Linked DNA regions of Macaca mulatta. The protein of the gene in region 1 purifies or fractionates together with the protein of each later gene. This does not show direct contact. Links are inferred from orthologs where the notes say so. Each region holds a gene or a part of one and is shown on either strand. Other genes may lie near its edges.

Region 1 (3,511 bases):
TGGCTCAAATGTCACATAAAATGAATAAACCAGTTAGAGCTTGAAAATAATGAATGTGACAGCATTTTACCATTATGTGACCTGATACACAAAATAGTAACTTTTAGTGCTTCTATTTTGTTCATGGAAGTAGAAGTATCTATATTGTCTTACCCAGAGATGGCATTGTTATAAAATGGATCTCTTGGGTTTCTTCTTGATATCCATTGTATTATAATTAAGATGTTAAAGGTTTCATTAGTAAGAACTTTTTATGAGAGACTCTGGTAATTCCACTAGGGAGTAGGATGTTTTGTTATTATACAAGTGCAAGATGGTAAGGCTGAGATGTTCTCCATGATGATGATCAAGCAATTGCTTCTACATATGAATCACCTGCTTCTAGATACCTCACTCTAATGCTTCTCTTTGTCAAATTTTCAACTTGTGATTTTCAGATGACCTAACCGTGACTGCTAATTATTCCTTTGGCTTGGTGCTTTAAATTCAGAATTTATGATCCAGCCCTCAAACTGGACTACTTCTTTTTCATAGCAACTCACAAAGAAATGCTAGAAACCAACTTCCTTAAAATTACTGCTTGTTTTCATTTTTACAAGCCAATATTATTAAAATAACTACCTCATTACTAAGTAGAGGCTTACACTTGAAAAACTTTCTAAAACAATTATCAGATGAGATAACAAAACACAATATTTTCTGGATATTACTCTAGAATTATTAGCTATTAAGGAAGGATGTAAAATATGTAATTTTAATGTATATTATCTTTTTAGTCACCATCTAATTTAAATCACTTTGAATGCTTTAATTTCCTATTTCTACCTTCTCCTCCAGAAGCCCAGACAATTACTTACAACACATATTTATTCACTGCGTCCATTTTTAAGTGGAGGAGTGAGGTGGGATGAGTGGAGGGTGGGAATGGGGTATATATTTTAATAAAGGAGATGGAATAACAAGTAGGTCATAGTACTGTAGGGCTAAAATGGTTCCCGTATTAGAAGAGAGAAGCATCACAGCTGACTAAAGGCTTAAGAGTTGGCAGTGGAAGGTACAAAGGGAAGATACAGCTTCATCTCTCAGAGTGAAATTCTTATAATTAGGCCTATCTCCTTTACGTTATTTAAATTTTATACTTCTAATTCAAAAATTTCCCATATACGAAATCTCTTGATGTAACTTGGAGGCAGATCACGCATCAGTGTCAATGATTTACATGAAAAGATCACCCAGATCAACAGAAGCTCACAGAACATTTACATCAATCTTCTGTTTTATGGGGGAAAAGGGCAGGTAGGAGAACTCCATGAATAAAAATTTTTACTTCCTCTTGAAAAGGGAGGGGAAATTTTAGAATATACATCCAATGGCAGCAGGTAGAAGTCATAAGATCCTGATTATGAGTTGGTTTTAACAGGTCTGGAAACCCATTCTCCACATACTTGTAGAGTGTGTCGAGGCCTCCAGGTCTTTCTAACTGCATGAAGTTGTGTCGCAAGTTGAGGTAGGTAATATCTTGACTATAGAAGAGATGCTCAGGAACCTCCTCGAGGCTGTAACACGAGAGATCCACGGTACTGATTCGCTGAGACACCACCTGAATAACGTCAAAGAGAAGAGCTTTCTGAGCTAGTACTGGATGTCTATCACCCAGCAAAGAATGGAATGGCATTTACACAAAAAGACACTAATTAAAAAGACAGGAAAAAATAAAAAGGCAATAAGATCCAATTATTCATTTATAAATACCAGTTAATTTTTACTTTTTCCTAAAACCATAAGCTACTTGAAAAACAAGGGTACAAGTTATAAAGTCTCCATAAGTACAAGGTAAAAAAAGAAAAACACGTATCATTAAAGATGGAAAGTTAACACTTCATGCAGGAAGTAATCTTCTTGTTTGTTTGTTTGTTTGTTTGAGATACGAGTCTTGCTCTGTCAGCCAGGCTGGAGTACAGTGGCATGATCTCGGCTTACTGCATCCTCCATCTCCTGGGCTCAAGCAATTCTCCTGCCTCAGCCTCCCAAGCAGCGGTGATTACAGGCATGTGCCACCAGGCCAGGCTAATTTTTTTATTTTTAGTAGAGACGGTTTCACCATGTTGGCCAGGCTGGTCTTGAACTCCTGACCTCAGTTAATCCACCCACTTCGGCCTCCCACGGTGCTGGGATTATAGGCCTGATTCACAGCGCTCGGCTGCAAGGAGTTATCTTAAAATGATTCGAAATAACTGGACAAAACTTTAAGAGGCAGTGTGATATGAAAAGACATGGCCTTTTGTAGCCACACTAGCTCTGCTACTTATCAGAGGTTTCTTCAACTGCTTTGAGGATAAAAGTAAATAACCAAGCACATAGCACACTGCTAAACACGCAAAAGACACTAAAAAAAATTAACTTCTCTTTAAAAGGGCAGTAGAATAGCTACTTAAAACTGGGACCAGTTTTATTCAGAGCAGATTTTATAGCCAACACAATATAACTATAAAATAATAAAATCAAAACAAGCTTCATAGTTCTATAACAGTATGCCAATATAATATGGGTTATAAAAATTGATCTAAAAAAAGAAACAATATATCACTAGAAAAGTCATTCATGGCTGGGCGTGGTGGCTCACACCATAATCCCAGCACTTTGGGAGGCCAAGGTGGGCAGATCATGTGAGGTCAGGAGTTCGAGACCAGCCTGGTCAACATGGTGAAACTCTGTCTCTACTAAAAATACAAAGATTAGCTGGGCGTGATGGTACACACCTGTAATCCCAGCTACTCCAGAGGCTGAGGCAGGAGACCTGCTTGAACGCGAGAAACAAAGGTTGCAGTGAGCCAAGACTGCACCACTGTATTCCAGCCTGGGTGACAGTAAGACTCCATCTCCAAAAAAAAAAAGAGAAGTCATTCATGTTTTGATGGTATGTCCTTATACTATAACAATCCCTTATACAAAATCCTGCAAAGACAGCTAGAAGAAAAAGAGAATTTGGAAATCACAATACACTTTATTGCTCTTTAAAGGCTAAAGAGCAGAAATGATGTTGAAGTTGAAAGACTAATTATCCTTGGCATATAGGAATAATGGTTTGTGACGGCATTAGAGGTCACTGTCCCATCATCAATAACTGCACATTTGAAGTGGTTCACCAAGGCTGTTCTGAACATACGCAGAACGAGAAGCACTGGGACACAAGTTATGGAATGCATCCATCTATCACTGACTACTACGGTCGAGGGAAGGTCATTTAAATCTCATTGTATCTCAATTCCTTCAAGGGTCAAATCTCTTTGTGTCTTAATTCCTTCTAAGGCCCTACCTCCCAGAGATAGTACAGAGGAAAATGCACCTGCAAACATTTTTGACAGCATTTTGTACTATGCATATATAAATAAGTTAAAGATCTGGTGGAATTCCATGATTTTACTCACTACATACTTAGGAAAGGCCTAGAAAGGAAATTAAAAATTATAATTTGCTATCATTATAATTTGCCATCTTGGGAATAAGTTCA
Region 2 (4,204 bases), on another chromosome or scaffold:
GTCCAGCCCATCTTCTCTCCACATTCCATACACACACAGCCGTATCATCCCTGCTTCACCCGGCATAGCGGGAGCAGACAGGAAGGACTCTGGAAAACTTTTATACTGAATGCAGAACTTGGTACTCCAGATCAAACTGCAGAAGTAAATGATAATCCTTCCCCTTCAAGGCCCTCATAATTAAGAGTTCAAAGAAAATTTTACTACACAGTAAGCATAAGGTGCTACTGAGATTACAAAAATGCCATTCAACTGTAGGAAGGGGATGGAGGGTGGGGTTGGACAGGGGTAGGATTATTGAAGTAAGGAGGCTCCCTGCTTAACAGACAGCTACACACACTCTCCAGACGAGAAGGAAAAGGGGTGTGGCGGGGAGGAGCGTTCCAAGCCTAGCAAAACCACCTACAAAGCCAAAGAGGTATCTCTGCTTTTCAATTTTGTGATTCTAGAGGACAGATGGCAATTTTCTTTAAAGAATAAGACTGCAAACTACTGAGATATTTAGCACTGTTTGGGGGTGCATTCGAATGTATTCAAATATGAATACGGACACACCGAATTTTAATAGTACCTTTGGAACAATCTCATTTGGCCAGGCACTATTTGCCAACAATACACACACACCCCACATGTAATTAACGTATCTGGGTGGAAGCCCTAGAAAGAGCTTCTGAGTTTGACATCCTTGAGATCAGAATCCCACTTACTAAGTGTGTGACCCTGGCAAATCCCTGTGTCTCACTGTCCTAATCTGATTACAGCATACATTTATTGTTTACTTGAATACTGTTTGTGTCCATGAGCAAGAATGTAAACACCATGAAAGCAGGGGCTGCCCTGACCAATACTGCATCCCCAGCACTCAGCCCCGCCTCTAGCACTTAGTAGCTGCTAAATGTATACTTGATATACAGTACTTGAGTGAATGAATAGTCGGTCAAGAGTATCACACCACTCCTGAAATCCTAGTCTTTGACAACGAACTATGACCCATACAATGTGTGTAGCTCAGCAATCTGGCAAAATTGTCACTGTAAAAGACCTAATTATCGCATTCCTTTTGAAACTGACTAATAATTGGCATATCTAAAAATAATTAGCCCAAACAATCCTCGAAAATCATTTTAACATAGTCCATTTAATACCAGTGCTTTCCTAAAATGTAAACTGTGAGAAAGAACAATCATCCAGTTGGGAAATGGAGTCTTCAATGATTCATCCTTCAGTATGATTTCTTTAATACTGTCGATTTTATGTCCACCTGATTTCAGCCATTTTTTGTACTGTTCCTCAGCGTGCAGGAGAGAATCTGCTTTTAAAGCATCTTTCAGATCTGATTCACCACTCCTTAAAGAAAAATATATACAATGTACAACCCTTGGACGGAAAATTGCTTGGGGATCTCCTATATGAAATCAGTTGCATAAATAGGACCAGTGAGACATGAAGCACAAGATTTCAGAAGTCTTTAATAACAACCACTAGGCCCACGTTGCAAAGAACAACTTTTTTCGGTGATGACTCATAAATTATGATCCCTACATATAAGCTCATGAGGAGCTAATGAAACGAATTTGTCTCATCATGTGGAAAACTGTGGTCCTTCTGGCCACGCACAAAACACCAAGTTTCAAACGCGCCCACGTTTTGCTTAATTCGGGACTTCCAGCGGGCATTAGCACTTTTCCCTTACAGTCTATTTAAACGCCCTGGGAAAACAAATACGGTCGCCTTGGCAGGCGGTCCCCGCACAGACACACCTAGCTCCAGCCACATACAGATGTGTCTGGTGGGCTGAAGTAAATAAATGACAGGAAAGCTAATGCTGCTTTTCAAGATTAACGTGCATTCCCAGAGACAAGACTGCCACCTGGACACACGGCTGGAAACGGGAGAGCATGTGCCTCTCAGAGGAGAAAATGGAGAGAATTTCAACAGTACTTATTTAAACTTTCCACCTTCACACACGCCCCTTTCCCCCAGCGCGGGGTCGGGGACTCGGCCCAGCCAGCGGCGCGAGGAAATCTGCACTTGACTTCCGTCCTCTCCCAGGCGGGAAAGAGCGCTGCCCGCCACGGCCGAGACCCTTCCTTCCTGCCCGCCGACCCCCACCCCGCCCGGGGACCCCTCCCGCTCGGCGCGCGACCAGGAGGAAATGCAGCCCGCGCGGCTCCGCGCCCCCTCGCCGGCGACCCCGGCCCGGGGCCGCGCTCCGACTCGCGCGCGCCCACCCCTCGCCCCGCCACAGGCCCAGCCCGTCTCGGCTCTCGGCCCCGCGCCCCAAGCGCACCCCAGCAGTTCAGCCGGGGGCTCCCGGAGGCCGGTGCCCGCCCCACGCCACGTCCGGCACAGTCGCCCCCTCACCGCCACCCTCGCGCCGCCCTGGCCCACCAGGCGGCGCCCCCTCCCCAGCCGCCTGGGCCGCTCACCCCCGCGCTCCCCGCCTGCTCGCCGTCCAACCGCCCCCGCCCGGGCCGCCCGCCCGCCCCCGCGCTAGGCCCTGCGGGCAGCCACCGGGAGAGGCGGCTCCAGCGCCGCCCGCCCGTCCGAGAGGTCCCGGCTGCCCCTGCCGCCCGCTCGCCGCACCTACCATGGTACAGATGGAGGCGAATTTGGAGACTGTCATTAGGATTTCCATCCGGCCAGCGCCATCTTCCACCCAATCACAGCGGCGGCGGCGGGCGGGGGAGGAGGAGAGCCGGGCCGCCCGCTCGCACCGCAGCCCGCGGGCGGACCCCGAGCCGCCGCGGACCCACGCACCGAACCCGCTGGGCCGCCGCTGCCGTCGTCGCCGCCGGCGCTCAGGCACTCCCGGCCTCGGGCCCCAGCCCCCGCCTGCCGGCCGCCGGCCCGCCCCCGGCTCCGCCCCAGCGCAGGACGCAGCCGCTGCCTCCGGGCCCGCGCCTGCCCGCGAAGCCGCCCGCCGCCCACCCCGCCCAGCGCGCAGAGGAGCGGGCTCCGCCGAGGCCCTAATGCCCGGCCTGCCAGGCAGCAGCGCGGCCCGGCGGCGCAGCCCCGCCCACCCCTCGGCGCCCCCTCCGCGGCCGGCGAGCGCGAGGCGGGGAACTCCGGCCCGGCCCCACCCCGCGCGCGGCAGAGGGCAGGACCGAAGGCGGGCACCGCCTCCTGCCCGCGTCCCTGCGGTCCTAGAGCCGGGCGCTTAGAGGCCCCGCGTAGGAAGGGGCGCGGCGGGGAGGCGCGGGGGCGAGGGAGGCGGCGGCGACCTGGGAGAACCTCGAGGGGACCAGCTGCGACACCCACCGCGGGCGAGGGGACGGCGAGCCCCCGCTGCCTAAACAGAAAACGGAGGCGATGATCTGGGTAACTACACGCGGAGTGGGAGGAAACCTGCTCTGACAGTTAAGATAACCCGGGTTACCCAAGCACTTGGTTTGTTTCTTTTTACGTATATTGGATGAATCACCGGAGTCAAACACAACTTAGAAAAAGACAAAATAATTAAATAAAAATGAAGAGGCAAAGAACGAATTACACGTTTAACTCTTTGAATTAAGAAGAAATAAGTAATGGGGGAAGGAGAGGAGCAAATCCTGCTGGCCTGTTGGCCGTAAATTTATAACAGGCTTCTAAATATCTGCACATTGAGCTGCAAAATAGGGAAGATCTCAAGCCAGCAGTGATGATGATATTACCAGAGACAAGAAGCCCGCAAGCAAGAAGAATGCCCTGTGAGAAATCCTTAGGCAGTGCTGGCTACTGGCATGGGTAGTTCCTCTTTTCTTCTTTTCTAAAATTCATATTTGCACCCTGTTCTTCATGCCTGGCAGCTCAGCTTTATTTTTTCCTATTTGAGAAAGTAGCTCAAGTGAGTAGAATAACTTCATAAATTACTATGTTAGAAAGCTTGTGGCATCTTCGATGGGTGAACTCGTGATGGGGTACTTTTCTGGGTTCCCCTAATTCAGTGGGATTGAGGATCTGAATTCAGGCAGAGCTGTAAAATCAGAAGTGCCTCACCTCACGGGTTCAAAGCACTCAAAAACAAAGCATTCAAACAAAATTTAAGTGAAAAATAGACTTCTGGTACATGAATACTGTTTCCATAGTGATTCCATTATAAGCTTGCTTGGGGGGAGAATGCAGATTGAATATAGCTAAATCCCATGGTAGCCGGCCTGGTTCTCCAAGCGCCTGCCTCCATGGAAGCCGAGAGCCCTGATACCCCAGCCAGGGGCTTCCCTCT

What was found. Proteins that work in one complex are often made in the same cells at the same time.
Region 2: the proteins of PHLPP2 (region 1) and USP12 purify together in Homo sapiens (affinity purification with mass spectrometry; 3 studies listed by BioGRID and IntAct, with this or other methods). This does not show direct contact. The link is inferred for Macaca mulatta from reciprocal best matches to the Homo sapiens genes PHLPP2 and USP12.

The regions. Positions count from the first base shown.
Region 1 is NC_133425.1:68,204,014-68,207,524, reverse strand, and holds part of PHLPP2 (PH domain leucine-rich repeat-containing protein phosphatase 2), read right to left. Parts: intron 1,601-3,511; coding exon 1,446-1,600; intron 1-1,445. UniProt on the Homo sapiens protein: Protein phosphatase involved in regulation of Akt and PKC signaling.
Region 2 is NC_133422.1:7,255,586-7,259,789, forward strand, and holds the start of USP12 (ubiquitin carboxyl-terminal hydrolase 12), read right to left. Parts: upstream 2,811-4,204; 5' UTR 2,639-2,810; coding exon 2,591-2,638; intron 1-2,590. UniProt on the Homo sapiens protein: Deubiquitinating enzyme that plays various roles in the regulation of the immune response and inflammation.